Struthio camelus: one gene and its partners. The protein of the gene in region 1 purifies or fractionates together with the protein of each later gene. This does not show direct contact. Links are inferred from orthologs where the notes say so. Each region holds a gene or a part of one and is shown in the gene's direction. Other genes may lie near its edges.

Region 1 (7,126 bases):
ATGTCTGCGCACACACATGCATACTTGGCTGTGCATGCATGCGCACACACGTACACACACATACGTGCTCTTGGCTGTGCACGCATGGGCACACACACATACACACCCATGGCTGCCCACACATGGGCACACACGCGCATGCACGCACACGCATACTCAGCCGTGCATGCACACACACACATGTGTGCACACATGCACACCCTCAGCCGTGCGTGCACGCGTACCCAATGCGCTTGCACACTCAGACTTGCCTGCATGCACACACGGGCATGCGCACACACGGGCACGCACACGCACGCACCTGCAGCCATGCATGCACACGCGCACCCTTGGCCGAGCAGGCGCGCGCGCGGGCACGGGGCAGCCACCCGCGTTTCCACGCTCTCCCCGGCCCCAAGCCGGCCGCGAGAAGCTCTGCCCGGCTCCCCCTTCCCGGAGGCGGCGTGTCCGCGGGGCACCGGGCAGTGCCGGGGGTCCACGGCCCCCTGCCCCCCCGGCCCAGGGCCACGCTCACCTGGTCCTCGGGCACGGCCAGGGTGCTCCGGCTCTTCTTCATGCAGCCGCCTGGCGCGGGGGCTCAGCGGCCGTCCTGCCCGCGCTCCGGCCGCGGGGGCCAGGGGGGCCGGCGCGGGGGGCACGGGGGGCGCAGGGGCCTGCAAGAGAGAGCGGTGGGGTGAGGGCTGCGTCCCGCCGCCCCCGCCGCCCCGGGGGGGCCCAGCCGGGCTGCTCGCGCTCCGTCGCCGGGACCCGGGGCTGCAGGAGCAGGGCTGAGCACCGACACGCTCATCGCAGCAGCGGCCAGCACCACGCTGGGGCTCCGGCTCCCCCCAGCACGGAGGGGGCTGCCCCCAGGTCAGCGCACCCGGCTTCCCCCGCCGCCTGCCCCGGCTTCGGGAGGAATTTTCCGCCTATTTAACTGCTTCGCAGTCGCTTGGCGCCGGGGCCGGTGACGCCGCGCCGAGCGGCGAAGCCCAAGCCGCGAGCGGAAACGGCCGGGGGCGGGCGGCCGGGGCGAAGGAACGGCGTCGCACGTCCCTCCCCGGCTGGGATTTCGGGGCGCTCCGGGGGAAAGGGGCGGCTGCGCCGGGACGGGTGATGGGGTGGCAGCGGTCTCGCCGACCCGCCGCCGCCGGCGAAGCCGCAGAAGGGGCCGGCAGGACGCGGCACGGCCGGCCCCGGCAGCGCGGCCGCAGGGCCGGGACGCTCCCGAAACGCGGGACGCCCGGTGCCTCTCCCGGCGGGGCGGGAGCGGGGGGCTCGCTGCCCGCAGCCCCACTGCCCCCGGGGGGCTCCCGGGGCCCCTCAGCACGACCGGCCGCGGGGACCCCCGAGCGCTGTGTCCCAGGGGGCTCCCGCATGGGGCACCTGCTCCCACCGGGGTGCCCTGTCCCACCGGGATGCCCGGTCCCCCTGGGATGCCCGGTCCCTCCGTTACTCCCGGTCCCCCCGAGATGCCTGGTCCCCCTGGGATGCCCGGTCCCTCTGTTACTCCCGGACCCCCCGAGATGTCTGGTCCCCCTGGGATGCCCGGTCCCCCCGGGATGCCCTGTGCCACCAGGATGCCTGGTCCTGCCGTGGCACTGCACCCCCCCCATCCCTTCCGGATACCCGGTCCCCCAAGATGCCCAGTCCCCCTGGGATGCCTGGTCCCTCCATTACTCCCGGTCCCCCCGAGATGCCTGGTCCCCCTGGGATGCCCGGTCCCTCCATTACTCCCGGTCCCCCCGAGATGCCTGGTCCCCCTGGGATGCCCGGTCTCTCCATTACTCCTGGTCCCCCTGGGATGCCTGGTCCTGCTGGGGCGCTGCACCCCCCACATCCCTTCTGGATGCCCAGTCCTGCCCAGATGCCCGGTCCCCCCGGGATGCCCTGTGCCACCAGGATGCCTGGTCCTGCCGCGGCACTGCACCCCCCCCATCCCTTCCGGATACCTGGTCCCCCAAGATGCCCGGTCCCCCAGGATGCCCAGTCTCTCCATTATTCCCGGTCCCCCTGAGATGCCCGGTGCTGCTGGGATGTCTGATCCTGCTGCAGCACTGCATCCCCCCCATTCCTTCCCGATGCCTGGTGCCCCAGCATGCCCAGTCCCCCCATGATTCCCAGTCTCTCCATGATTCCCAGTGCCCCCAGGATGCCTGGTCCCCCGGGATGCCCTGTGCCACCAGGATGCCTGGTCCTGCCGCGGCACTGCATCCTCCCCATCCCTTCCAGATACCCGGTGCTGCTGGGATGCTCGGTCCTCCCATGATTCCCGGTCCCCCCAGGATGCCCGGTGCTGTCGGGATGCCCGGTCTCTCCATTATTTCTGGTCCCTCTGGGATGCCCGATCCCCCCATGATTCCCAGTCCCCCCGGGATGCCTTGTGCCACCAGGATGCCTGGTCCTGCCACGGCACTGCACCCCCCCATCCCTTCCGGATAGCGGGTGCCGCCGGGATGCCCGGTCCCTCCATGATTCCCAATCCCCCCAGGATGCCCGGTGCCCCCATGATGCCTGGTCCCTCCATTATTCCCGGTCCCGCTGGGATGCCCGGTCCCCCCAGGATGCCCAGCGCCGCCGGGATTCCCGGTCCCCCCATTATTCCCGGTCCCCCCGGGATGCCCGGTGCCCCCGAGGCGTTGCCCCCCACTCCCCGCCGGGGATGCCCGGGCCCGAGCGCGGCGGCTGCACAGGGAGGGGAGGGCCCCCCCGGCCCCCCCGGTCCCCCCGGCCCCCCGGTGCCGCCCCCGGTACCTGGCCGCCGCCGGCTCGGCCGCATCCAGCCGCCTTTGTTTGCGGCGCCTCCCGCCCCCCCCCCCGCCGCCGCCGCCGCCGCCGCCGCCCCGGTACCGGCAGGCGCAGCCGCTCGGGCGGAGCGAACCGGGGGGGGGGGCGGGGGGGCCGGCCCCGCGGGTACCGCACCGCGCCGTGGCCCCCCGGCCCCCCCCGCACTCCCGAGCACCTCCGGTACCGGCACCCCCGGCCCCGGCCCCCCCCGGGATCCCCGAGCATCCCCGGTACTGGCCCCCCCAGGACCCCCGGGATCCCCGAGACCCCCGGCCCCGGCCCCCCCCCGGGACCGCCGAGCACCCCCGGTACCGGCCCCCCCGGGACCCCTGAGCACCCCCGGTACCAGCCCCCCCTGGGACCCGCGGCACTGTGATCCCGCCGGGATTCCCAGCACCGCGACCCCTCTGGCACCCCTGGCACCGGCAACCACCCAGGACCCCCGAGCACCTCTGGCACTGGGACCCCCTGGCACTGGGCATGACCCCCCCGGGACCCCCATGCACCCCCCAAACCGAGCACCCCCTGATACCGGGACCCCCGGTACTGAGCACCCTCCCTGGGACTCCTATGCACCCCCGGTACTGGGACCCCCCCTGCTCCCCAGCACCGGGCACCCCCAGCACCCCTAGCACCCCCAGCACAGCGGGGTGGCAGTTCGGGGCGGGCAGATGGGGGGCTGGCAGTGGCGAGACAGTCGGGGTGGCTGCGGTGGCTGGCCAGGATGGTGGGTCGGGGTGGTGGGTCAGCACGGTGGGTGGGGATGGAGTGTTGAGGTGGGGGGTCAGGATGGAGGGTTGGGGTGGAGGGTTGGGATGGAGGATCAGGATGGAGGATCAGGATGGTGGCGCAGGGTGGTGGGTCGGGGTGGTGGGTCGGGATGGTGGGTCAGGTTGGTGGGTCAGGATGGAGGGTTGGGATGGAGAATCGGGGTGGTGGGTTGGGTTGGTGGGTCGGGATGCAGGGTTGGGGTGGCCACAACAGCCATCCCAGATAGCAGGTTGGGGTGGCCAGGATGGGATACTGGGTCGTGACAGGGGGTCGCAATGGGGCAGGACGGGATGACGGGTGGGATGGGTGGCGGGTGGGCCTGGGACAACCACCCAGGGTGATGGACTGGGGCACTCGGGGTGCCGCAGGCAGGTGCTTCTGGCATCACCTCTTTTTTTTTTGGTGGGGGGGGAAGCGCCCCCCGTCCCCACTGGGGCTAGGGGGGGTCGACGCGAGGCCCTGCCCCGACCCCCGCGTCGCCTGCGCGTGTCTCTTTAAGAGGCGCGCCATCTTTGTGCAGGGCGAGGCTGCCGCGCATGCGCGCCGCCGCCGCCTCGCGGCGCTTCCGGCTTCTGCCCTGCGCGGCGGGGCGGGCGCGCAGGCGCAGTGCGCAGGCGCGGGCGGAAGTGCGTGCATGTGCGGGCGGAAGTGGGCGGGCGCGGGCGCTGGAGGTTTCCAGAAGAGGCCGGAGGAGCCGGGCCCGGAGCGCGGCCGCGCCATGGTGGACTACAGCGTCTGGGACCACATCGAGGTGTCGGACGATGAGGACGAGACGCACCCCAACATCGACACCGCCAGCCTCTTCCGGTGGCGGCACCAGGTCGGGCTCCGGCCGGCCGGCGGCAGCGCCCCCCCCCCCCCCCCCGACTCCGGGCTGGGCCGGGGCGCGGCTCCCCCGTGACCCCGTTTCCATGGCGACCGGCTCCCCCGTGACCCCGTTTCCATGGCGACCGCCTCCCCTATGGGGCCTGGGCTGGGGGCTCCCCTGTGACCCCCCCCGTCCCTGTGGTAACAGCTCCCTGAGACCCTTCCCTTCCCCATGGGGCCTGGGCTGGGGGCTCCCCTGTGACCCCCCCTGTCCCCATGGTAGCAGCTCCCTGAGACTCCCCCCTTGTCTGTGGGTCCTGGGCTGGGGGCTCCCCTGTGCCCCCCCCCGTCCCCATGGTAGCAGCTCCCTGAGATTCCCCCCTTGTCTGTGGGTCCTGGGCTGGGGGCCCCCCTGTGACCCCCCTGTCCCCATGGTAGCAGCTCCCTGAGACCCCCCCTTGTCTGTGGGTCCTGGGTTCCCCTGTGGCCCCCCCCTGTCCCCATGGTAATGGTTCCCTGAGACCCTTCCCTTTCCTATGGGGCCTGGGCTGGGGGCTCCCCTGTTACCCCTCCCTGTCACTGGGGTGACCAGTCCCCCTGGCCCCCATCCCCTTGTTGGCCTGGCTGGGGTCTCCTGCTGGCCCCTGTCCCCATGGTGGCTGGGCCATGGGGGAGCCCATGGCCCTCATCTGTTTGGGGTCCAGCTCCCTATGACCCCTATCCTCATGTTGACCTGGCCCCATGGTGTCTGGGCCAGGGGTTCCCCCATGGCTCCTATTGCTGTGGGGACTGGCTCCCTGTGACCCCTGTCCCCATGGCTCCCCCTGTCCCTCAGGGCCCTTCCAGGAGGCTTCCTCAGGGCACACTGTCCAAGGCCCTGGGAGCCAGCAGTCCTTAGGCCCTGCCCTGGGGTCCAGGGCAGCTGCCAGGAAGCCCCAGGCTGGTGCCTGCCCTGTCCCTTCCCTGGGCCTGGGGAGATGCTACCCTCTGACCAAGTCACTGTGCTAGGAGCTTAGCCAGCCCGAGGTAGTCTCTTCTGCCTAATACTGGTGCGGAGGCTTGGAAGCTATCGCGATCTGTCTGTGAGGCTCTGCGGCACCATGCCACTGACGCCCCTAGAGCGGGCCTGGGTATTAGTGGAAGTGACTTGTCTGCTGGGTCAAAGCAGCGCCACGGTGAAGCGCCCTGTGAGTGCCGCGTGTCAGCCTTTTGCCTGTGTTCCTCAAATGACTGATTTATCCCCTTATGCTTGCCCTGTGCTACCCTAGCTTGTCAGGCCAGGTGACGCTCGCCGGGGAGAACCCGGCTTCCCTCTGGAGAAGCCAGGGGTAGCCCACCTCACCTGGGGCCAGTGCCTGCTCTCGGGACTCAGAGCTTCGCGTCCCGTCGCTGTTGCGTAGGTTTCATGGATGTGGTTGGAAGGGCTGCGCCGAGTTCTGGCAACTCCCTGTGCTTCTAGCAAGCTGTTTCTTTCTGCTGCGATTCCCCTGCCCATGAAGGGTAATAAACCTGCAGGAGGAGGCAGTGACTGAGAGAGGCAGATTCATGGGATACTGGCTAAGCGCATGTGTGCGCTGCTTCTGTGGGTTCCCCCTCCCCCAAATGTGAGGAGAGGAAACTACAAGTTTCTTTGCAGGTAAAGAATGAATGCAGTGAGTTCGTGTGCTCCCGGCTGGCTTCCTCCGCTAAAGGCGTCCTCACCTCAAACAAGCAGAGGAATAACAGTGAAAGGCAGTTCTTCCCGCTTCCTGTGAGGGCCCTGGATAGGAAGGCAGGAAGGGTCCCGGCCTTGTGTGGAGGAGGTGCGCAGACCTGCGCTGCCTAGTCTGAGCAGAAGAAATCCTTAGGGACTCACAATCCTTTTCTCCAAGTAATATGATATTTGGGGGTTAGCAGCACAGGCTGTGGGAGGAAGGGAAGGGTGGTTAAAAATTGGACAGTGAAGAAAAATGAAGCTGGCGTGCAAATTAAATTGCCCCCGCTTCCAGTTCAAACAAAATGCTAGTGCTTAGCTTGGAGGGCTTGTTTGAGGCAGGTGAGCGTAGGCTTGATGTTGCATTTGGAATATGTTGTGGTGCAGCGTCTGCTCCAGGTTCGTCCTGTGGAGCTGTGCATGGAGAGAACGCAGCTCTTCTGCCTCTTGATCTTTCTTGAAAGAGATCTTTTTGAGGAAAGATGCGTCTGTTCTCACCTTGTGCTCCTAATGTAGCTGCTTCTGGGGGAGGGTATGTGACTTCTTGTTCTTCGCTGTGTTCCACAAAGAATAACAGCGATCTGGGAAAGCATGTCAGGCTTCCTGGAGCACGCGTCTCCTACACTGCAGCGAGCCGTTACCTAACAGCGTAGGGAGGCTCTGTGCGTGTGTCAGTGTCACGGGAGAAGCGTGGCTAAAGAACCCAAGTCAGCTAATGGGGTGTGGAAGATAGTGAACGCTAAACAGAAATATCCCGCTGTTGTCTTGAAGTGGTTTCAATTCTTGCCTGCTCCAGAGGAGGTAGAAGAGCCCCCCACCCTTCCCCAGGAAGCACTGCACAGTGCAGGCCTGAATAGCCAGAGCCAGCTGCCCACTCTGAGCTCCGGTCGCGAGCTCCTGTTGGCCGTTGTAGGGATGATTCAAAGTCCTGTGGGCTCTGGATGCACTGGAGAGGCTGATGTTGCTGCTTCGTGACTGCAGTCTTCCAGACTATCTATTTGTTTTTCTCTTGAGGGTCTTAAAAGTGTAAATTGTTGCTTGCAGGCTCGAGTGGAGAGGATGGAGCAGTTCCAGAAGGAAAAAGAGGAG
Region 2 (7,458 bases), on another chromosome or scaffold:
GTCTGATATGCCTCATCTGAGAGCTAATCGCAGTGTTAACGTATGGAATTTGCACAGTGAATCATCAATATTTTATTGCTAATTTAGCTTTCAGGCAGACCCAAAAAAGCCCATTGGGGGCCACATCCTTGCGCATGCTTCAACTACCAGGATCAGTTTGAGGAAAGGGAGAGGGGAGCTGCGTATTGCAAAGATATATGACAGGTAAATCACCTTTTCTTTACAGGAAGGAAGCTGTGTTACAAGCAAGGTTAAGATGATGAAGTTCATGGTTCTGAAACTTAATAGCTTGACAATTGATTCATGGTTTCCAATTAGCTATGTTTCTGGATGGTATGTTGAGAGAAAATGTGAAAAGACAAGCCAATGAACAGACTTAAAGTTCTGTTCCACATATCATGTATATTAAATTATATAATCTTTCGTCATAAATCCTACTAGATGCTCATCTCCTAAAGAAGATTGTCAAATAGTTTGGTAACATTGGTGGTCCCTTGGCGGGAAAGATCCAGAGCTGTTTAATTATGAAGTTTTAATTAGGAGTATCAGTTTACCTGGTAGGCTGTGGCAGACGCAAGTCATTACAAATTTTATCAGTGGAATTAGTGTATTTATAGAGAGACCCAGCGTTCCTGGTCTGGAACTAAGACATTTAAGTGAAGGTTTACATAGACAGAATCTTTGCTTCTCCTACACCTCCTCCTTTCTCCTCCCTTGTAGTTCTCATCTTCAAAGAGGTAGATTTCACATTTTCTGATCTTGATCATCTTGGATCACTTTCTACAGTTTGCACATAGCCATAAAGGCATTGAAGTATTCCATGTTGCTTCTTATACTTGCATCGTTTTGGGGTCTATGCCACAACTGCCTTTAACATGGGGGAAAAACAGAGTTTCTTGTTTCTCTTCTGTCTGCAGCCCTGAGATGCCTGAAAATGAAGCTACATTTGCAATAACTGCTGGTGGGATTGGGGATGCCAAAGAATAGGCAGAAAACTGATGCAAATGTATAGCTGCCCCTAGGCAGCTGGGATGGAGACGTGTGTGCAAGGTCACTGAATCCCTGGCTTCATTTTTATCTTTTGGGGATCATTTGAGATATTTTTGGAGGACATTGGAACGAGCTCTGTACAGTTCAGTTTTATTGATCTTGATAGAATTTGGTTCATTTTAGAGGCTTTGTTTTTCAATTGAACTTTCAGCAGACAAAGATTTGAAAAATAAACTTGTGAATTGTTCAAGGAATCCTTTCCCAATATTTTGTGAAAATCAAAGCTGTCTTCTCACATCACCTTAATGTACTCTTTTTCAATTTCTTTGAAAGTGAAAGTCTGTGAAGGAGAATTTAATAGTGTGAAATGGAACAGAATTGGAATAAACATAGTTTCAAGAGTGACCGATAAATAGATGGAAAAAGCAGTGGCAGGGCAAGAGCCCAAGAACTTGATGGAATCTCATGAACAGTAGAGGAGCAGTAGTTGCTTGAAAATATGTTTTTAGGCCTTCTTATCTTGACTAGATTATTTTTGTCCTTTTATTTAGCATGGTGACTTTTGGAGGGAATATTTTAAAATTGTTTTTATTTAGTAAAGCTAAAAATAAAAATAAAAAATTATTTGGCGCTCTGCTTATGTTTGGGTGCTTTGAATCAGACTCCGCTCTCAGTAATTTCCAAGAACATTCATGAGAAAAATAAGCAGGATGCAACCCAGTATTTTAAATCCCGTAGTCCGGTTCCCTAAGGAAACAAACATTGCGCGATTGCCTCACCAGTCTCCTTCTACTGCCAATGAGAATAGTAAAGATGAGGTTTTTTTAATGAAAAAGCAGAAGGAAACAGAAGCGGTGGCTAGATAGAGGATAGAGACTGACACTAGTACTTTCACTGAGGGAAAGACACTTTATGCTTAGCTTGCTATCTGTTCTGAGAGAGCGTAGCCGGCTGGCCCATCAACACAGCTATGTCCACAGATGTATGTCACTGGGGACAAAGGAACAAGCTGTGAGTAAAGAGACAAATGGGGGAGTAGGGGAAAAAAAATTTCAGTTTTCCCTACCTCCAATATCTATGACATTGCTTGTTTTAAAATAAACTGTTAAATGCTTTAAAGAAAGGCTTCACTTCTTCCTCTTGTCTCACAACGCTGAAGAGAATGGGTCTAACTCTGGTGTTTGGTCAAAGAGCTTGTCTTTGCTCATAGAAGTGCATTTTAAATTTAGATTATCTAATTTATGTAAGATAATTTCTGGTCACCACTGTGTTTTTACTTCAAATTCTTTAAGAAATGCCTGGCACTGTAGCCAGAATTTAACTTCAGCAAGTTTACCTTGTGATAAAGTTAAAGAGTTTGCCTTCACTGAGTGTTTTCTTAGCGTATGTTATACTTGATAATTTTTCTGAGGTAAAATACCATTTTTCACAGCGGAGAGAAGTCTAGAGAGACAAAGGCGCTAGGAGGTCAGTTGATCAGAGAGAGCCAGTAATGGATCAGCAGTTTTCATTTAATGTAGCATTTAATCCTCTGCCTCTACCAGTCTTTCCCACACCCGGCAGTTATTTGTAATCGCCAAGTAGCAGAGCGCAAGCGTGAGCTTACGGTGTTGATTCACTCCCACCCACTTAGGAGGCAAAAGTTTCTTCAACGCATTCAGCACCACGTTTGCTTTTTGCCTTCTCACATGTGCCATACGGTAATGCAAGAAGAATAAAGTGGTAAACAATTTGTATCTGGCTCCAGGCGAAGTCATTTGTTAACCTCAAGGGTCTGAAAGTAAAGGGGACTCGCTTGCTCTTCAGCCATCCTGATTTTTGATTGTCTGATAACCTGGAAAGCACTGCTGATCGTGCAGCTTTGGCGTGGGGATGCCATCGTTTGGCCGGTGCAGGTAGATCACCCGCCCGATAAACGGCTAAACCTCATGTACCAGGGCAGGCGAGCTGGCTGCTCGCCCAGAGGCGCCAGAAAGGGAAGCACAGCCCCTTTCCTTTCAAAAGGCCATTTCATTGCGGCCACCAAAAGCTCTCTCCTGTTGCGCAGTTCAGCGTAAAATTGACAGTTTTCTAACGAATAGTTTACAGCCCACGCCACGTGGCTGCCTCCTGGCTAATTTTATCATTTAGTTGGGAGTCTCCGGTGTTGTTCTGGAGTCGAATGCTACCGGGGCGCGTGCGCGCAGCGCCGGGGCCGTGCCCTCCGTCCTCTGGCTGGCTCGCAGGACTGGCCTCGCCTCACCTTGCGCCCGGCTCCCCCGGCAGGCTCCTCCTGCAGCAAGGGACCGCTTTGACAAAGATCACAGAGAATTTACCAATTCAGACACGCGCGTCGTTTGTAAAGATGACGCGATAGGGATAGGTACAATGGGAATGCTGCAGTAGGTTTGCTGCTGTTAACTTCTATTTATACGCCTTCAAGCATTTATTAAATAACAGACACGTGCCTTTGGTTTGTCTGTTTGAAGACAAGTCAACAAAGCCAAACTAGTGTCATCTACGTGCCTTTAAGAAACTATTTATCTCAACAAAATTACACATATTTGGGGTGAAAAGGCAACAGAGGACCTTACAACATCAACTTAATATTAAGATTTACATTTTGCATGTTCCATTTGTAAACATTCAGTGTATCACCCCATGGAATAACATTATAGTTAGCAAAAGTGTGAATTCTTTAGCAGTTGACTTTCTGGAGACGTTGCTATGAGGCTCCTGCAGTTATGGAGGGGGGTCACCAGGGCCGAGTATTAAGCCATTTTTGGATGCATTACACCAGTTTCTTCCAGCCTCCTAGAAATAAGGAGAAAGCAAACATCATGGCTGCTGTCGCTCCTGTTACGGGTTCAGCGCTGTGCGCGGCGCCAAGATCCCCTCCAGGCATCTGCGAGGAAAAAAAGGCGCGAAGAAACCAAACATAACCGGCCCCGCGCAGTCCTGCTGGAGCCGCCGCAGAGGCCGCGGGCACCCGCGCTTCCGCTATTGTCTCCTCAGCCCCGAAGCCGCCTTCCAGGGGGACAGCGGCCGCGTAGGCAAAAGGCCGTATTCTCCAAGCTCGACTACGCTGCAAAGTTAACGTAATCCGCCAGCCCTTCCAGCAAAACCTACGGAAGAATTTTACGCAAAACGGGCGGGCTCGTCCTCCCCTACGCCAGCCCGAGTTGCGCAACTTGCGTACGCAGTGCTCTTACGTAACGTACGGCTCGGCCTGGGTTTTCCCTACCGTCCAGAAGGGGTTGCAAGATCGACTCCTTACGTAGCAGACTTTGAGGAATAGGGAGAGTGTTACTCTCCCCCCTCCCCTCCTGACGCAGGGGCCCCGCTTAAGCACAGAACACTACGTAACTTTCGTAACCTGCCCGCTGTGCGGAACAGTGTTTCGCGAAGAGCGCTTAGGGCGTAGTTGGGTTCCGAGAATAGGTGCAGATATTTTCGAGGGCCGGAATTTGCGCAGCGCCGGGCCGCCCGTAACGTAAGTGAAGCGGGTTGGAGAGGCGGCAGCCATTTTGTGCCGGGAGCCCGGAGGAAGAAGACGCTGGTGTCTCCACACTTCACGGGCCCTGGAGCCTACCGAGAACCCCGCCGTCCCGTCCGCCGACGTTCAGCGGGTCTCTGACCCACTGACCACTTCTTCTCCTTTTGTATCCCTCCCAAGAAGCGAGGTGGCGCAAAGCGACTCCGCCGAGGCACAGCCGCCCCTGGCTGGACCCTCTCCCCGTACCCCTAGTCCCTCACCCTCCCCACGGCCAGCATTCCGCTGCCTTTCACCCACCCCCCCGGGTGCCATGAGAGGCTTCGGAGACCGGGGCCGCGACCGAGACCGCGGCGGGTAAGGGGAGGGGGGGAAGGGAGGGAAGGCTGGGCCTGGGGGAGGGGGCGCGGCGCGGTGGGGGGGGAGGTGGAGGGGGCCCCCTCCTTTGGCTTAGGAGCCAGGCGAGGGGGAGGCGGGCGGGAGGGAATCGTGGGGCAGTAAAGGGGGGGGAGGTTGATCGTGGCTGCGGTATTTGGGACAGTTTTTTTTCACCCTATATCTTTATTCCAGGGTGGGGTGGGAGCTGGAGACGTTATTCCTACCGGGGTTCTGGCAGCAAGGGGTGGTGGTTATTGTTTTAATTTTGCTTTTCCTTCCTTCACGTGTAACCATGTGCCTCACTTTCAATTTTAAGGTCCTCCTGCCCCCCCCCCCGCGTTATTATTAATTTTTTTTTTTCCTGCCACCTCCATTTTCCTTCATCGTACTCCCCCCTGGAAATAACGAAGGTCTTGGTGGCCCTGGAAAGGGTGGTTGGATACTCTGCCCTTCGGGTTGTCATTGCTCCTTCTGGACTTTTCAGAAAGATGGCAGTTGGTGAAAGATCTTTCTCAGTAGCACTCCCAGGCTTATCCGGAGAGGAAATAGAATTGAAAACTGCTACCATGCAGGGGAGTTGCATTCTCAGGAGCCTGATCTCAGTAAACATGGCCCTGGACCACACTTAAAAAGCATGACCAAGCTTACTTAGGTAGCAATCAAAGAGAAGTTGTCTCTGTGGCACTGCGAAGGCCTGGTATTTGATACTCTTGATACTACTATCTCAAGAAAGTTTGGTTTAGAAAAGGTTTATGCAGGTTTGATTTTTCTCTGAGGACGGTAGTAATAAATATAATGTGCTCTGGGTATCATTAGGGTAAGCATAACATAGGCTGGTATAGCAGTATATAAATGGCTTGAGACTTTGACTTTTTTTTTTTTTTTAAAGAATTAAGAAATCATAAGACTCCTATCCCAAGCTTTTCTAAAGAGAAAATTAAGAACTAAATTCGGGAGAGATTGTCCCTTTCTCTCCTTTAAATTACAAATAGTTTAGGCCTTCATTCTCAAGGATAATGATAAGCATATGTGGGTTTTGTTATTAATCGAAATCCAGTCTGCCATGTTAAGAATGAGTGTTTTTTTTTTTTTGTTTCCCTCCCACTGAGAGATCAGGAATATTTTGTTTATATGTTGAATTGTAACTTAATATTTAGCTCTCTCTGTGGAGAGAGATAGCTGTGTTCTTGCTTTATCTTGACACCCACTGTTTCATGTTCAGAAATTAAATTTAAAGATCGTTTTAGTTTCTTTACAGAGAGGAGAGTTCTGGTGTTTTTCCACTATGAGCTTTCCAGCTTAGTTTAACACAAGGACATTGGAGTAAACACTTTGGTGAGCCTGAGATTGTTCAGATCCCAGCTTTTTTTTAGGAGTTTAGTGACTGAATTTGAGTATGCAGATTTATATACAGTTACTTAAAGGAACACAGTTGAAAACATTGTCATGATACTTAATGTGCCTTAAAATTTGTGTAATCTGGTTTTGTGTAAAGAATTTGATTGTTGACAAATACTTCTCTTTTAAAACGGAGGTGTTGCATAAGTAAGTGCTTAAATGCTTATTTGTAAAGATTTTGTATGTTTTACATGAAAAATCTTATTCTTGGGCTATTACACTGGAAGTTTTGATGCGTCAGGGTTCACTTTGGTATGCCCATCTATTTAAGGTCTGGAAGTATTTGTAATGACTAGCAACCATCTTTTCATAAATACTTCTCTTAAATTTTGGGTGACCCAGCCTGGTAGTCAAGCTCCGTTTAGAAGTTTAACCTTCTCAGTGCTGGTTCATTTATAAGACAACTGAATACAAGCTTTCTATTTTCCTTCTGTCATGAGCAAGTTGTAGATGACTCTTTAGCATGGAAAGTTATGCTGTTGTGCTTTGGAATTGAATAAATTGATTTAGTTTATTTAGTTGATAAACGACGGCACAATAGTACCAGAGCAGATTGTTTTGGATCAGTCTAAATTTCCACTTAATTGAAATGAGAACTCTTGATAAACCAGTGAAATATCCCTAGATTTAAATCAGTTTAACTGGAATTGGAATATGATTATTACTTGTAATGAGATTGTGAAGTGTCAGTTACTTCCAGGTGAGTAGGTAAATTCTGTGAGAGGCTGCATTTCAGGAATGATGTAGGGCTCACTTCTTTCAGGTCAACATACAGTCTTACTGTGTATAAGAATGAAGAACTGAAACTATATGACTTTTATGCAAAATACATTGTATTCTTCTGGATAGCCAAAGAGCAAATATTTATAATACCCAGCTGTTTTACTGTCTGATCTTGCAGTCAATTCTTTGTAAACTTATTCACAGTTTGACTCTCCAGCTGACTTCAGTGAGACTATTCATTTTGTTAGAGTTACTTAGATTCATAAATATCTGACTTTTTTTTAACCTCAGATTAGCACAATCAGTAGCAGATATCGTCAGTAAAGATGAATGTTTCTGTAACTGATGATCTGTACTGACTCTCTTACTTTGTCTCAAAAGAGTAATTAAACCTTAAATTGATTTTTGAAGTTGTTTTACAGTCTTGTCATATGACAGAAGTTATTGATTTTGCAGACTGTTTTGGGGATCTGAGAGGCATACTGATGAGAAAATAA
Region 3 (7,730 bases), on another chromosome or scaffold:
CACCCGGCGGGACGCGGCCCGCGGCGGACGGGCGAGCACCCGGCGGGAGGCGGCCCGCGGCGGACGGGCGAGCACCCGGCGGGAGGCGGCCCGCGGCGGACGGGCGAGCACCCGGCGGGAGGCGGCCCGCGACGGACGGGCGAGCACCCGGCGGGAGGCGGCCCGCGACGGACGGGCGAGCACCCGGCGGGAGGCGGCCCGCGGCGGACGGGCGAGCACCCGGCGGGAGGCGGCACACGGCGGACGGGCGAGCGGCGGGCGGGAGGCGGCCCGCGGCGGACGGGCGAGCACCCGGCGGGAGGCGGCCCGCGGCGGACGGGCGAGCGGCGGGCGGGAGGCGGCCCGCGGCGGACGGGCGAGCACCCGGCGGGAGGCGGCCCGCGGCGGACGGGCGAGCACCCGGCGGGACGCGGCACGCGGCGGACGGGCGAGCACCCGGCGGGAGGCGGCCCGCGGCGGACGGGCGAGCACCCGGCGGGACGCGGCCCGCGACGGACGGGCGAGCACCCGGCGGGAGGCGGCCCGCGGCGGACGGGCGAGCACCCGGCGGGACGCGGCACGCGGCGGACGGGCGAGCACCCGGCGGGAGGCGGCCCGCGGCGGACGGGCGAGCACCCGGCGGGAGGCGGCCCGCGGCGGACGGGCGAGCGGCGGGCGGGAGGCGGCCCGCGGCGGACGGGCGAGCACCCGGCGGGAGGCGGCCCGCGGCGGACGGACGAGCACCCGGCGGGACGCGGCACGCGGCGGACGGACGAGCACCCGGCGGGACGCGGCCCGCGGCGGACGGGCGAGCACCCGGCGGGAGGCGGCCCGCGGCGGACGGGCGAGCACCCGGCGGGAGGCGGCCCGCGGCGGACGGGCGAGCACCCGGCGGGAGGCGGCCCGCGGCGGACGGGCGAGCACCCGGCGGGAGGCGGCCCGCGACGGACGGGCGAGCACCCGGCGGGAGGCGGCCCGCGACGGACGGGCGAGCACCCGGCGGGAGGCGGCCCGCGGCGGACGGGCGAGCACCCGGCGGGAGGCGGCCCGCGGCGGACGGGCGAGCACCCGGCGGGAGGCGGCCCGCGGCGGACGGGCGAGCACCCGGCGGGAGGCGGCCCGCGACGGACGGGCGAGCACCCGGCGGGAGGCGGCCCGCGACGGACGGGCGAGCGGCGGGCAGGAGGCGGCCCGCGGCGGACGGGCGAGCACCCGGCGGGAGGCGGCCCACGACGGACGGGCGAGCACCCGGCGGGAGGCGGCCCGCGACGGACGGGCGAGCACCCGGCGGGGGGCGGCCCGCGGCGGACGGGCGAGCGGCGGGCGGGAGGCGGCACGCGACGGACGGGTGAGCACCCGGCGGGAGGCGGCCCGCGGCGGACGGGCGAGCACCCGGCGGGAGGCGGCACGCGACGGACGGGCGAGCACCCGGCGGGAGGCGGCCCGCGGCGGACGGGCGAGCACCCGGCGGGAGGCGGCCCGCAACGGACGGGCGAGCACCCGGCGGGAGGCGGCCCGCGGCGGACGGGCGAGCACCCGGCGGGACGCGGCACACGACGGACGGGCGAGCGGCGGGCGGGAGGCGGCACACGACGGACGGGCGAGCACCCGGCGGGAGGCGGCCCGCGACGGACGGGCGAGCACCCGGCGGGAGGCGGCACACGACGGACGGGCGAGCACCCGGCGGGAGGCGGCCCGCGGCGGACGGGCGAGCACCCGGCGGGGGGCGGCCCGCGACGGACGGGCGAGCACCCGGCGGGAGGCGGCCCGCGGCGGACGGGCGAGCACCTGGCGGGAGGCGGCCCGCGGCGGACGGGCGAGCGGCGGGCGGGAGGCGGCCCGCGGCGGACGGGCGAGCGGCGGGCGGGAGGCGGCCCGCGGCGGACGGGCGAGCACCCGGCGGGAGGCGGCCCGCGGCGGACGGGCGAGCACCTGGCGGGAGGCGGCCCGCGGCGGACGGGCGAGCGGCGGGCGGGAGGCGGCCCGCGGCGGACGGGCGAGCGGCGGGCGGGAGGCGGCCCGCGGCGGACGGGCGAGCACCCGGCGGGAGGCGGCCCGCGGCGGACGGGCGAGCACCCGGCGGGAGGCGGCCCGCGGCGGACGGGCGAGCACCCGGCGGGAGGCGGCCCGCGGCGGACGGGCGAGCGGCGGGCGGGAGGCGGCCCGCGGCGGACGGGCGAGCGGCGGGCGGGAGGCGGCCCGCGACGGACGGGCGAGCACCCGGCGGGAGGCGGCCCGCGACGGACGGGCGAGCACCCGGCGGGACGCGGCCCGCGACGGACGGGCGAGCACCCGGCGGGAGGCGGCCCGCGGCGGACGGGCGAGCACCCGGCGGGACGCGGCACACGACGGACGGGCGAGCACCCGGCGGGACGCGGCCTGCGGCGGACGGGCGAGCACCCGGCGGGACGCGGCACACGCCGAACGGGCGAGCACCCGGCGGGACGCGGCCCGCGACGGACGGGCGAGCACCCGGCGGGACGCGGCACACGCCGAACGGGCGAGCACCCGGCGGGACGCGGCCCGCGACGGACAGAGGCGAGGCACGAGCTTCAGGTAGGACGCGGCACACGCCGAAGGGACGAGCTCCGGGCGGGAGGCGGCACACGACAGCGGGAAGTGAGGGATATCTTTCGGGGGGGGGACGCGGCACGGCCGGCCGGGGGCGAGGGATATCTTTCGGGGGGGGGGACGCGGCCCGCGCCGGACTCGGCGTGATGGAGTAACCTCGGAGAAGGTTCTGGCGCTGCGAAGCAGGAACGTAGCAGCCGTCCCGGCACGTAGACGGGGACCGATCGAAAGGAAACGGGCACCGGCGGAGGGAAGGCGACGGGAAGCGACCGTCGCGGGCAGGTGGGGGAATAAGGCTGCAGGGGGGCTGGGGGGGGGGGGTGTGGGGTCTGACGACCCCAGAATCGCTTCGTTTCGGGGTCCCTCCCCGGAGGCACCAGCTGAGCTGTTGATTTACCGTACCGACGTTTGAATAAATAATTAATCGCGCTGGATGTGAGACTCTGCTCCTTGGAAACGAATGCCCATCCTCCCCCCCCCCCCAGCCCCCCGATGTGGGGGTCCCCGTCCCCCCCCCCAGCACCCCAGTGTGGAGGTCAGTGCACTGCTGAACCCCCCCACTGTGCCCTGAACCCTGCACCCCAAACCATGCTGCACCCCCAAATCCTGCTCCACCACGGCCACTGAGAGCTGCGCCCCCCCCCGAGATCAGCCCCTGCCCCACAGCGAGACAGGGCCCCCCCCCCCAAAGGCCAGGCTCTGCCCCACGGTGGCTGGGGACCCCCCGAGATCGGCCCTCGCCCCACAGCAGCTGGAGGGGGCTGGGGTTGCTGTCAGCTCTGCCCCACAAGTGCCCCCCAAATCCCTGAGGTCCCCTAGAGCCCCCCCCTAAAGACCCCCATGTCCTCAGAGCCCCCCCCAAGTCCCTGGGGTCCCCCTGACTCCCAAGTCCCCCCCCAGTCTCCCAAATCTCCAGGGTCCCCTCCAGACCCCTGGAGCCCCCCGAGTCCCCAGAGGCCCCATATCCCCAGGTTCCCCTGACCTCCAAGTCCCCCCCCAGCACCCCCCCAAATCTCAGGGCCCCCCCAGCCCAGGGGAACCCTGGAGCCCCCTGACCTCCAAGTTCCCCCCCCATCCTCCCAAATCCCGGGGTCCCCCCAGCCCAGGGGAACCCCAGAGCCCCCCAAGTCCCCCCCTGGAGCCCTCCAACGTCCTGCCCCCAAATCCCTGGCGGGCCCTGGAGCCCCCCCCCCAAAACCCTGGGGTCCCCTTAAACCGACCCCCCCCCCAATGTCTCCCTCCCCCCCCGGGTCCTCCTGCCCCTCTGCCACCAGCCGGGGGGTCCCGGTACCGGCTGGGTGGATCTCGGGACCAGCTGGGGGGTCCCAGAACCGGCCGGAGGAGCCCGGGACCAGCTGGGGGGGGTCCCAGAACCGGCCGGAGGAGCCCGGGACCGGCTGGGGGAGGGGGGTCCCAGAACCGGCCGGAGGAGCCCGGGACCGGCCGGAGGAGCCCGGGACCGGCTGGGGGGGTCCCGGAACCGGCCGGGGAAGCCCGGGACCGGCTGGGGGGGGGGTCCCGGGACCGGCCGGGGGAGCCCGGGACCGGCTGGGGGGGGGGAGCCCGGGACTGTCCGGAGGAGCCCGGTACCGGCCGGGGGGGGGGGGTCCCAGAACCGGCCGGGGGAGCCCGGGACCGGCTGGGGGGGGGTCCCGGAACCGGCCGGAGGAGCCCGGGACCGGCTGGGGGGGGAAGCCCGGGACCGGCTGGGGGGGGGGTCCCGGAACCGGCTGGGGGGGTCCCGGGACCGGCTGGGGGGGGGGGTCCCGGAACCGGCTGGGGGGGTCCCGGGACCGGCTGGGGGGGGGGGTCCCAGAACCGGCCGGAGGAGCCCGGGACCGCCTGGGGGGGGTCCCGGAACCGGCCGGAGGAGCCCGGTACCGGCTGGGGGGTCCCAGAACCGGCCGGGGGAGCCCGGGACCGGCTGGGGGGGGTCCCGGAACCGGCCGGAGGAGCCCGGTACCGGCTGGGGGGTCCCAGAACCGGCCGGGGGGAGCCCGGGACCGGCTGGGGGGGTCCCAGAACCGGCCGGAGGAGCCCGGGACCGGCTGGGGGGGTCCCAGAACCGGCCGGAGGAGCCCGGTACCGGCCCTGCCCCGCTCGGGCGCTTCCAGTTCCGGTTGCGACCCAGACGGTTTCGGTTCCGGTTCCGGTTCCGGTCCGGCCCGGGCTGCCGGTACCGGCGGGGCCGCGGGGAAGCAGCGGGTCCCTCGGCGGGGCCGGGCTGCCGGTGTCGGTGCCGGTTCCCCCGCCCCGGGGGCGGCACCAGGAAGCGCCGGGCCGGGCCGGGCCGGGCCGGGTCGCGCCATGGCCGAACCCGCCGGTATCCAGCCCGCGGCCCGCGGCGACAGCAGCAGCGGCGACGACGACGACGAGGAGCTGCCGCCCGCTCTCGGTACCGGCCCCGGGGGGGGCCCTAACGGGGCGGGGGGGGCGGCGGCACCGGGCCGGGGGGGGACATCGGCGCCCTCAGCGGCCCGTTCCGGGTGGGACCGGGCGCACCGGGGGGGCAGGAGGAGGGAGGGAGGGGGCGGTTGCGAGGGGGGGGGGGACACGGATCGAGGGGGTACCGGGACCGGGTGGTTTTTTTTTTTTTGGGGGGGGGCGCGGTTCCGGGTAGCACCGGCCCGGGGTGTCGCTGGCCGGCGGCGGAACTGAGGCTTGGGGAGGGGCGGTTCCGGGGGGACACGGAGCGCGGGGGCACCGAGGCGTGGAGCGGGGAGGGGGGGCCGTTCTAGGGGGGGCACCGGGGCGCAGGGGGGAGGGAGGGCGGGTCCGGGGGGACACGGATCGCGGTGGCACCGGGGCGCAGGGGAGGGGGCGGTACGCGGGCACCGCGCCGGGGGGGAAACCGCGGCCCAGCGCGGACGTTCCGGGGCCGGGTGGGGGGGGAGAGGTCGGCATCGGGTGGGACAGTGGGGACATTGAGGGGGCAGGTGTGGGGCTCCAGGGGATATTGGGAACACTGGGGTGGGGGGACATTCCTGGTAGGTGAAGCCTAGGGGTGTCCAGGGGACATTGGGGACACCGGGGCAGGGGGGGTGTCCAGGGGACATTGGGGACACCGGGGTGGGGGGTGTGTCACTGGTGGTTCAAGGCTGGGGGTGTCCAGGGGACATTGGGGACACGGGGGTGGGGGTGTGTCACTGGTGGTTCAAGGCTGGGGGTGTCCAGGGGACATTGGGGACACCGGGGTGGGGGGTGTGTCACTGGTGGTTCAAGGCTGGGGGTGTCCAGGGGACATTGGGGACACCGGGGTGGGGTGTGTGTCACTGGTGGTTCAAGGCTGGGGGTGTCCAGGGGACATTGGGGACACTGGGGTGGGGGGGTAGTCCAGGGGACATTGGGGACACCAAGGTTAGGGGGATGTCACTGGTGGTTCAAGGCTGGGGGTGTCCAGGGGACATTGGGGACACTGGTGTGTGTGGGGGTGTCACTGGTGGTTCAAGGCTGGGGGTGTCCAGGGGACATTGGGGACAGTGATGTGTCCCTGGGTGATCAGCCCTGGGGATCCAGGGGACATTGGGGACACTGCGGCAGGGGGGTGACGCTGGTGTCCCCGAGAGGCACTGACCCCCCTCCCCGGTGTCCCCAGCCAACCTGGCCGGCCACCAGGAGAAGGTCGGCGTGGAGAACTTCGAGCTGCTCAAGGTCCTGGGGACCGGAGGTAAGCGGGGACGGGGACCCACCTGGCCTTGTCCTCGTGTCCCCATGCCATGTCCCTGGGGACAGCCATGTCCCCATCCCGTGTTCTCAAGGACAGCCATGTCCCATCCTGTGTCCCCAGGAGTAGCCATGTCCCGTCCCGTGTCCAGTCCCGTGTCCCCAAGGACAGCTGTGTCCCATCCTGTGTCCCATCCTATGTCCCATCCTGTGTCCCTGGGGACAGCCGTGTCCCATCTTGTGTCTGGGGGGGCCACTGTATCCCATCCCATGTCCCCAGGGATAGTCACGTCCCATCCTATGTCCCATCTTGTGTCTTCAGGGACAGCCACGTCCCATCCCATGTGTCCAGGGCCATCCCACGTCCCCATCCCGTGTCTGTGGGGGCACCCATGTCCCATCCCGTGTGTCCAGGGTCATCTCATGTCCCATCCCATGTCCGTGGGGGCACCCATGTCCCATCCCGTATGTCCAGGGCCATCTCATGTCCCATCCCGTGTCCGTGGGGGCACCCATGTCCCGTCCCATGTGTCCAGGGACATCCCTTGTCCCCATCTCATGTCTGTGAGGGCACCCGTGTCCCATCCTGTGTGTCCAGGGCCATCCCATGTCCCCATCCCGTGTCCATGAGGGCACCTGTGTCCCATCCCGTGTGCCCCAGGCCATCCCATGTTCCCATCCCGTGTCCGTGGGGGCACCCATGTCCCGTCCCGTGTGTCCAGGGCCATCCCACGTCCCCATCCCGTGTCTGTGGGGGCACCCATGTCCGTCCCATGTGTTCAGGGCCTTCCCTTGTCCCCGTCCCGTGTCCGTGGGGGCACCCATGTCCCGTCCCGTGTCCGTGGGGGCACCCATGTCCCATCCCGTGTGCCCGGGGCCATCCCATGTCCCATCCCGTGTCCGTGAGGGCACCCATGTCCCATCCCATGTGTCCAGGGCTATCCCATGTCCCATCCCGTGTGCCCGGGGCCATTCCATGTCCCATCCCGTGTCCATGAGGGCACCCATGTCCCCATCCCATGTCCATGAGGGCACCCGTGTCCCATCCCATGTGTCCAGGGCCATCCCATGTCCCATCCCGTGTCTGTGGGGGCACCCATGTCCCATCCCGTGTGCCCGGGGCCATCCCATGTCCGCGTCCCATCCCGCGTGCCCACGGCGCCTCCGCGGCACGTCACCGCCGTGCCCTTGGCGTGACGGGGCGTGCCCGTGGCGTGTCCCTGGCGTGACGGCGACCGTCCCACAGCCTACGGGAAGGTGTTCCTGGTGCGCAAGGTGTCGGGGCCGGACGCGGGGCGCCTCTACGCCATGAAGGTGCTGCGCAAGGCGGCCGTGGCGCAGAAGGCCAAGACGGCGGAGCACACGCGCACCGAGCGGGCCGTCCTCGAGCAAGTGCGCGCCTCGCCCTTCCTCGTCACCCTGCACTACGCCTTCCAGACCCGCGCCCGCCTCCACCTCATCCTCGGTACGGCCCCGGTGGGGTCCCGGAGTGTTGCGGGGGGGGGGTCCTCAAGGTC
Region 4 (7,198 bases), on another chromosome or scaffold:
TGGGAACTTCTTTTAGCATATAGTCTCTCTCCCCAGCCATCATCAGTTTTCCAAACATCAGGGAAAACATGCTTGCAATATCCCAACGAGGCAAGTAAAGCACTGACTAAAGCACAGAGCAACCAATTCTACTTTCCGCTAAGGCTTCCTTATTCTATTTTGGCAGGATATATTTACGCTTCTCCAGTTAATGTCTCTTCACACTTTTGAAAACATCATTAAGAAAGACTTAAGTCTCCTTAGTTGAATCTACACTAAGTGACCAAATTACACAATTGTCCTTTGTGATCCTCTAAGAATTGAATCCAGGTGTCCCGAGAGTAAGAGGCTCTTCTGCTCCTACTGGCTATAAAAATAAATTGTATTGATTTTTTTAGTTTTTTACTTAACTCCTAAGTTTTCTTCTACATAATTTTGAATAATAACATTTGCATATTTTCCCATACAGTCAATTCAAATTATATACCTCAACACTATGGTTGTAACATTTGAAACTGAAGTTCAATTTGCACTTTCAGAAGGCATTTACTTTTTCATATTCTACGCGTTTTAATCCAGAAGAAACTACATTATAATTCATACCTAATACACTACTACACCATCTATGTAATGCGTGTGGGTTTTGCTCTCATAAATACTGTTTGGTTTACTCATTTTTCCCTTTTATTTATATTTAGAAAATACAAGTTCAAGCTCCTAAATACTATACTGTGACCCCTAAATGCATTTGATTTATTAGTCCTGTCAGAATACTTTCTAAAAGCGTGGTACTGTGACCAAGGGAAACAGGATTTCAAACCAGTTAAATAAACCGGAATTCTGCCTTCCACTTTAGTGGAAATACAACTTTGCTCCGGTTTCTTGGCATCCTTTTGGTACTGTAGTGATGCTACCAACTATTCCCGTTTTATGCTTATTAATTTGATTTTTGGGTGTGACTACAGCCATTTACTAACCCTGCAATGAATTCTGCCTTACATGCAAAGAGTTATTAGGTATTACTTCAAAGCTATACAAAGCCTTGGAAATGATTGACCATGAGCAAGCTTCCCTTATTCCTTTCGCTCACCTCTCAACCTGACTTGAGTAGGGGAAAGATAGATGAGTCCTATTAAGCTCATGTCTCCCCTTTCAATACAATGACAACTTATATTTGTCATAAGTGGTATCAAAAAAGGTGCAGTTTGTGGAGCCCATATAACGTTCATATAACGAGTTCATATAACGATACATTAACAAGATTTTACAGAGCACTGTCACTTCAGCTGCCACATGCTGTTCTTCTCCTAAAAAATGTGATCAAGTTGAAGTGCATGTAAAACATCTGTGTAGATGCAATATGATAGCGACCACTTCTGCCAAGGTGAATTCAACCCCTACAGACTCTGGTGACAGGCGGTTATTAATGGTGACTACATTCAACATGTGATAGCTGTGCTTAAAGGGGAAGAGGGTAGAAGGAAAGGTCTGCTGCCACAGGTGAAAGCACGAGTCTTGCTTTGGCCTGAGACAGAAGGAATGAAAACAGGAGTTGCTGTCTCGAGGCAAAATACCTTCAGTGTCTTACCCCTCTCTGGACGATCCAGCCCAGAACTTAGCAGGATCCGAAAGTCAGAAACCCCCGCATCTCCCAGACATCAACTGATGTGTTTCTCTTCCCCATGGGGACAATCTACAGATGTTTTTTTCTGCCCTGAATTCTGTTCCTCTGTAGTAGCTCTTATTAAAATCCTGATGAAGCTGTCTCCTTTGTAAGATTTAAATGTGTGGTATGATAATACTCAAATAAGCCCCCAAACAATTAAATGGCATACTTCAGCCCATCCTCCTCACATCAGTGCCTTCGAAAAGGTCAGGTTTCTGTTGTTTGCAGCCCTTTTACATATTAGCACATAAAATCTTTGCCTTTATTCTTCTGGATTCGTAGGAAGGACAACAGATGATGAACATTTTCAAAGGCCCTGACTGAAATGTGACACCATCTCTCCCTCTGAGAAGAGCTTCAAACTCTAAATAAATGATTTGGAACAGGTATCTATGGCAGGAAATGACCAGACAAGTAGGAAGGGAAGACAGGAGACGATAGCCTTTATTTAGAGGAAGGAAGTCTTACCATATAAAGAGGGATTGCTTGAATTATGTTAAACGCAAATTTAAGTAATTTTTTTCTCTATTACGGTTGCCACCCTTGAGCTGATCAGGTTCTTTTTCATAACGGCAAGTCTCAGATGTGGGTATTTGACCGTGTAGTTAGCGTGGGTACAAATGAATGAGCTGCAATAATGTAAATTGAATTATCCCTGTGAGGGAACAGAAGCTGACACCTCTAAAGGGATGGAAGCAAACTTTTCTTTCTTTACAGACTCTTACACGAACTCAAAAGATAAAGAAAAGCATTGATGTGTGTGTCAAACACACAACGTACAACTGCTGTGAACATAAGCTTTCCATTCAACATTCCAGCCGCCAGCTCGAGACTAAAGTGACCTGGTTCTGATCAGACTACAAAATTGCTATTAACCTAAGCGTAAAAGCTGTCAAGCACTACTGAATTATCTCTGTTTTCTATTGCCTTATTCTAAACTTCATATCAATAACAGGCCAGAATTTTACAAACCGCCCCCCTGTTGTCAAAGGGGGCAGCCCTGATTTCTTTTCAACTTTTAACTCAAGCTTGGATGGGCTTGGGTTTGTTTTCTGAGAGGTGGTGGTGGTTTGGGGGGTTTAGTTTTTACTTGGCGCTGTTCTGCAGTCTGACTCACCACGTGGCAGCACCAGCAATTTCACCCGTTCAAAAGAGAGGCTGCGGCAAGGGCCAGCACGAAGAGCAGCAAGCAAGGGGAGGGCACAGCTGCTGCTCCTGGCAGCGGTGGTGGCTCGGGGGGATCGTTCCGCGATGACCTTTTACGCCAGATATGGAGCTCGCTGCAGCACCGGCTGAAGTCCGATTCATTATGGAGCACGGCCTGTCCATTACTTGGCACCTCTTAGCCGGCAGGCAGTCACGCTTACAGAAATAAAGCGGGACGAAAACACGCTGCCGAGCAGAAACAGAAGTAGCCTGTTTGCCACATCAGTGTGCGCACCCACGTGCTTTCATGCATGCGCGCACACGCGTTTTTTTAGGTACTAGCACTCCTGCCCCATCATCCCCTTGCCCCCCACCCAAATAAAACGACATTAACCTTTATCGGGGGTGAAGCAAAGCACGTGACTTACGCCCATCAACACCTGGAAAGGCTTTAGGACAGAGTCGGTGGGCAGGGGGGCGAGGCCTGTGGAAAACGAAGCGGCCCTTCTCAGGTAGGGTTGGGAAAACTTGGCAGCGAGGCGCCCAACGCGGGCGTCCACCTTCGGCGGCGGCGGCGGCTCCGGCCCGTCGGGGCTGCGCGGCTGCAGCCAGGCCGCAGGCCTGGGGGGGATCTCAGCCTGTATTTCAGCCAGCTGTCCGCGCCCCAGCTAATAGCTGAGGAAACGGCGAGGAGAACAAGCCCTTTCCCCGGCTCCGCTGGCAGCTCTGCCCTCGCGGCCTGCACAAAGCACGGCTTGCCCGCTGCCAGGCAGCTCCCACCCACGCAGCCCACCCCGCCGCCGCGCACACGCCACCCGCTTCCGCAACGGCTCCCGGCGCCCCGCTTTCTCGGCCGCTGAAGCCTCCAGCTCCTCAACCCGCACCTCCGACCGCGGTCTTTACGTCGTCCCCGTCCCTCTCTTTCCCCCCGGTACTGCCTTCCCGACGCGCTGCGCCGCCCGACCCGCGGGCCTCCCCCCCCCGCGGCGCCACCCGCCACCGAGCCGGGCCGCGGCTCCGCCCCGCCTCCCAGCCAGGCCCCGCCCCCTCCCGCTACCTGCAGGCGGCGCCGATTGGCCCGGCCCCGGCCGCGGCCCCGCCCGCTGGGGGTGACGCGCGCGTAGCCTCGGCTGGGGCGGGCAGGTAATGGCTCGGGCGCCATGTTGTGCGAGCGGAAGCCGGGTGCGAGCGGCGGCCCGGGTGGGAGGGCGGAAGCGCGGCCCCGCCTGGCGGCGGGGAGGGGGGAGCGCGTGGGGGAGGGGCGGGCGGCGGCAGCTCGGCGGCCGTCCCCGCAGTCGCTGCTGCTGCCGCCGCCGCCGCCGTGAGAGCCGGCCGGGGCTGTCCTGGCAGCCGGGGCGTCCCGCGCCCGCCCGAGGGCTCGCTGCCTGCCTCGTCGCGCCTCGCCGCCGCCGCCGCCGCGGGGGGGTGGTGTGGGGAAGCGGGGCGCGGGGGCCGCGGGCGCCGGGCGGGGAAGATGCCCCTGGCGCAGCTGGCGGACCCTTGGCAGAAGATGGCTGTGGAGAGCGCGGCCGAGAGCAGCACGGAGGTACGGGCGGCGGCGGGGAGCGGCGGCCAGGGCGAGAGCCGAGCCCTGGGGCGGGGGGCCGCGGTGCCCCGGGGGTTAGCGGGGCGTGTGGCGGCGCCGGTGGCGTGTGAGGGCGGTCGGGGCAGGGGAAGTTGCGAAGGGGCCGCGGACGGGGCGGGGGGGGGAGGCGGAGACGGGAGCGCGGCTCCCGCCGCTCTTCGGGGGACGGAGAAAGTTTCCCGCGGCGGGTGCGAGGGGGCAGCGAGCCGCCGCCGGGGAGGACGGGAGGCGGGGGGGCGGTTGGGGCTCCCCCGGCGGCCGGGGCTGGGGGACGAGCGCGGCGGCGGCGGCCGCCTCGTGCGCGCCGCTCCCTCCGCCGGGCACTGACTCACGGCCGGCGCCGGCCGGGGCTGCCCCGCGCCGCGGGTCACGGCCGCCGCCGGCTCCCTCCCCTTCCGCCCGCCGCCCCGGGCAGGGCGACCAGCGGCTCCGGCGGCGGCGGCGGCTTTTGTTTCGGCGCCGTGCCCGTTCGTCGGGAGCGGGTTTCCCCCTGCCCCGGGGCGGCCCTGCCGCCTCCGCACGCACTTCCCGAGCGGCCGGAACCGGCCCCGGGATTGAGGGGGAGGGGAGGGGAGGGGAGGGGGGGCGGTCAGCCCGGTCTCGGTCCTGGCCCTGGCCTCGGCCGCGGGGCTTGGCCGGCGCCGGCGTCACTTTGCCGGCGCCCTCGCCTTGCCGCTGCTCCCCCTGCGGCGGGGAAGGGTTGTCCCCGCCCGGGTGCCGCTGTCCCCTTATCTAAGCAGGATGGGGTTGTGTCTCTGCAGTTTCGCAAGCGTTTGGGAAACCGCACGGGCGCTTCGCATTGGTGAAGCTCGGTGCTCGGCCGCGTTTTGTGGGAACATCCCTGAGATGCAGCCCAGTGCGGTTTCCTGCTTTTGGTAGTGGGGAGTTGGTGTTGCGCTCGTGTCACCGTCGGGCAGGACGCGTGTGAGCTCTTCCAGGCTGAGATAATGCCAGGAGCTGGAAATTAGCCTCGCTTGCACCCTGAGATCGGGGGCTACGGACGCCTCCAGTTATTTCCAGTTCTTCTTTACCGAGTACTTGCTGCTCTGTTGGTTTGGATCTACGTAAACACCACACGTACAGAGACAGTTGTGCTTGCTTCGTGGTTTCCTAGTCATCTGCAATGTACACCCTAGTTGACGGTCAGACTCCCATCAGAAAGGAAAGGAAGAGCTTCCTCTGATGGTGCAGCTTGTACCTGAATCTCCTCCAGCTGATACGCAGCCAGTCTGCTCCAAACCATGATTTTGAACAGTGTGGATTCAGGCCAGCCCACAAAAATTAGTTTCAAGGTTAGGGCTTATTCCTAATGAGTGAAGCAGAGAAAGATAGACCAAACTGAAAAGTTTCTGCAGTATCAACGTGTTTGTCCTCTTGATGTTTGTCTTCCTTCTGCTTAAAGTGACTGCATCTCTGGAAGTCAGAAGAACCTGGACTTCTGATCTAACAGACGCATCTAACTGTCTTAAATTCTTGCTGTTTACTGTAATTTCCCTCAGTGACTTTTGAAGTGGTGCTCTTAGATGAGTATTTTTTAGTGAAGAGTAATTGGAATAGTGTGATGCTCAGGGGAGAGAAGTGGCAAGGAAGGATTTTTCTGCAAGGCCGTTTACACTAATGATTTAGAGAATACATCTTAACTGTTAGTTCAGTCTTCCTTGCTCACTGCATGTATTCTATGCGTCTTGAATAACGCTAGGGTATATATACTAGAAAGGTAATAAAACCAGATAATTTGAAAAGTACCTATGTATGTGGTTAATTATGCTCTTTTTATTACTTCCTTGTTTTAGTGCACTTTAGTTCCATGATTTGTTTTTAAACTACTGTCATAGATTTCTTGAAACTGGTGTATTCTACCTCTTCCTAAAGTGAGGGAGGGAGGAAGGAGTAAAGCACTTGCATTGTCTTGAGTCTACAGCAGTGTGTCATAAGGCATCTAAAAAAATTCACTGGGAACACTAACAAAACATGAAACAGCAACTGAACTGACAGGTTTACAAGGTAAGGTCCTAGTCTAAAATAAATATCCAGTGCTTGAAAAGACCAGATTGCACCTGTAAAAGCTTTTCCTCAAAAGGAAAAGGTAGACTTAAAGAAGTTGCTTACCTGAAATGAGTTTTTAAGAAGAGAAGATGTTTTAATGAAAATTGATAAATTTAAGTCAAATAAACAAATGACCTAAGTACATAAACAACTCATGCGAATTGAAAATGTAGTCATCTGCAGCATAGCAGTATCCTAATTACAGACCCTATCCTGCAAGCACATCCTTGGGCAAAGATATTTTTTACATCCTCATTGTGCTTTCAGTCATAGTTTGATAATAATAATGTCTTCAGCAGTAATAACAGGGTAAAGAGTTTCCACTAACATGGCAGATTTGCTGATGCATTTTTTTGTAATGCTGTGTTATCCACATGGAATCATGGAATTAAGAGCTTTAAAACTTATCTCAAATCCTTTTTTGTAATCTTAACTCTGAGTTTTCATATTGGATTAATTTTCATTTTTTATTACCTGGATTAAATTTTTAGGACTATGCAGTCCTGTACTCAGTTTCCTATTGGCATCACTGAGGAGATGAATTATTGTGATACATGGGCGTATTCTATGGGAGGAGTAAATACCTTTAACTAGCATTACTCTGAAAGACTACATTATTAACGTTCAACAACTGTTGTAACTTAGTGCGAGTATAATCAACAGATCTGTAGAACGTGGTCTTTCTTAAGAAATAATGCAAGTAGTTTTTTAGATGTGACATGGATTTATAGTTTTCAGAGGTAAGCTGCAGGAGTTCTGTTTCTACAAGTACAACG

Evidence for each region.
Region 2: the proteins of CDC37 (region 1) and DDX17 purify together in Homo sapiens (affinity purification with mass spectrometry; 3 studies listed by BioGRID and IntAct, with this or other methods). This does not show direct contact. The link is inferred for Struthio camelus from reciprocal best matches to the Homo sapiens genes CDC37 and DDX17.
Region 3: the proteins of CDC37 (region 1) and RPS6KA4 purify together in Homo sapiens (affinity purification with mass spectrometry; 3 studies listed by BioGRID and IntAct, with this or other methods). This does not show direct contact. The link is inferred for Struthio camelus from reciprocal best matches to the Homo sapiens genes CDC37 and RPS6KA4.
Region 4: the proteins of CDC37 (region 1) and RPS6KA3 purify together in Homo sapiens (affinity purification with mass spectrometry; 3 studies listed by BioGRID and IntAct, with this or other methods). This does not show direct contact. The link is inferred for Struthio camelus from reciprocal best matches to the Homo sapiens genes CDC37 and RPS6KA3.

The regions. Positions count from the first base shown.
Region 1 is NC_090972.1:4,866,586-4,873,711, forward strand, and holds the start of CDC37 (hsp90 co-chaperone Cdc37), read left to right. Parts: upstream 1-4,124; 5' UTR 4,125-4,171; coding exon 4,172-4,357; intron 4,358-7,081; coding exon 7,082-7,126. UniProt on the Homo sapiens protein: Co-chaperone that binds to numerous kinases and promotes their interaction with the Hsp90 complex, resulting in stabilization and promotion of their activity. Inhibits HSP90AA1 ATPase activity.
Region 2 is NC_090942.1:58,319,200-58,326,657, forward strand, and holds the start of DDX17 (probable ATP-dependent RNA helicase DDX17), read left to right. Parts: upstream 1-4,448; 5' UTR 4,449-4,775; coding exon 4,776-4,819; intron 4,820-7,458. Other genes in the region: DMC1 (meiotic recombination protein DMC1/LIM15 homolog), read left to right, coding at 88-204, 918-987. UniProt on the Homo sapiens protein: As an RNA helicase, unwinds RNA and alters RNA structures through ATP binding and hydrolysis.
Region 3 is NC_090976.1:700,250-707,979, forward strand, and holds the start of RPS6KA4 (ribosomal protein S6 kinase alpha-4), read left to right. Parts: upstream 1-4,715; 5' UTR 4,716-4,857; coding exon 4,858-4,945; intron 4,946-6,145; coding exon 6,146-6,217; intron 6,218-7,459; coding exon 7,460-7,678; intron 7,679-7,730. UniProt on the Homo sapiens protein: Serine/threonine-protein kinase that is required for the mitogen or stress-induced phosphorylation of the transcription factors CREB1 and ATF1 and for the regulation of the transcription factor RELA, and that contributes to gene activation by histone phosphorylation and functions in the regulation of inflammatory genes.
Region 4 is NC_090942.1:136,907,209-136,914,406, forward strand, and holds the start of RPS6KA3 (ribosomal protein S6 kinase alpha-3), read left to right. Parts: upstream 1-4,182; 5' UTR 4,183-4,265; coding exon 4,266-4,337; intron 4,338-7,198. UniProt on the Homo sapiens protein: Serine/threonine-protein kinase that acts downstream of ERK (MAPK1/ERK2 and MAPK3/ERK1) signaling and mediates mitogenic and stress-induced activation of the transcription factors CREB1, ETV1/ER81 and NR4A1/NUR77, regulates translation through RPS6 and EIF4B phosphorylation, and mediates cellular proliferation, survival, and differentiation by modulating mTOR signaling and repressing pro-apoptotic function of BAD and DAPK1.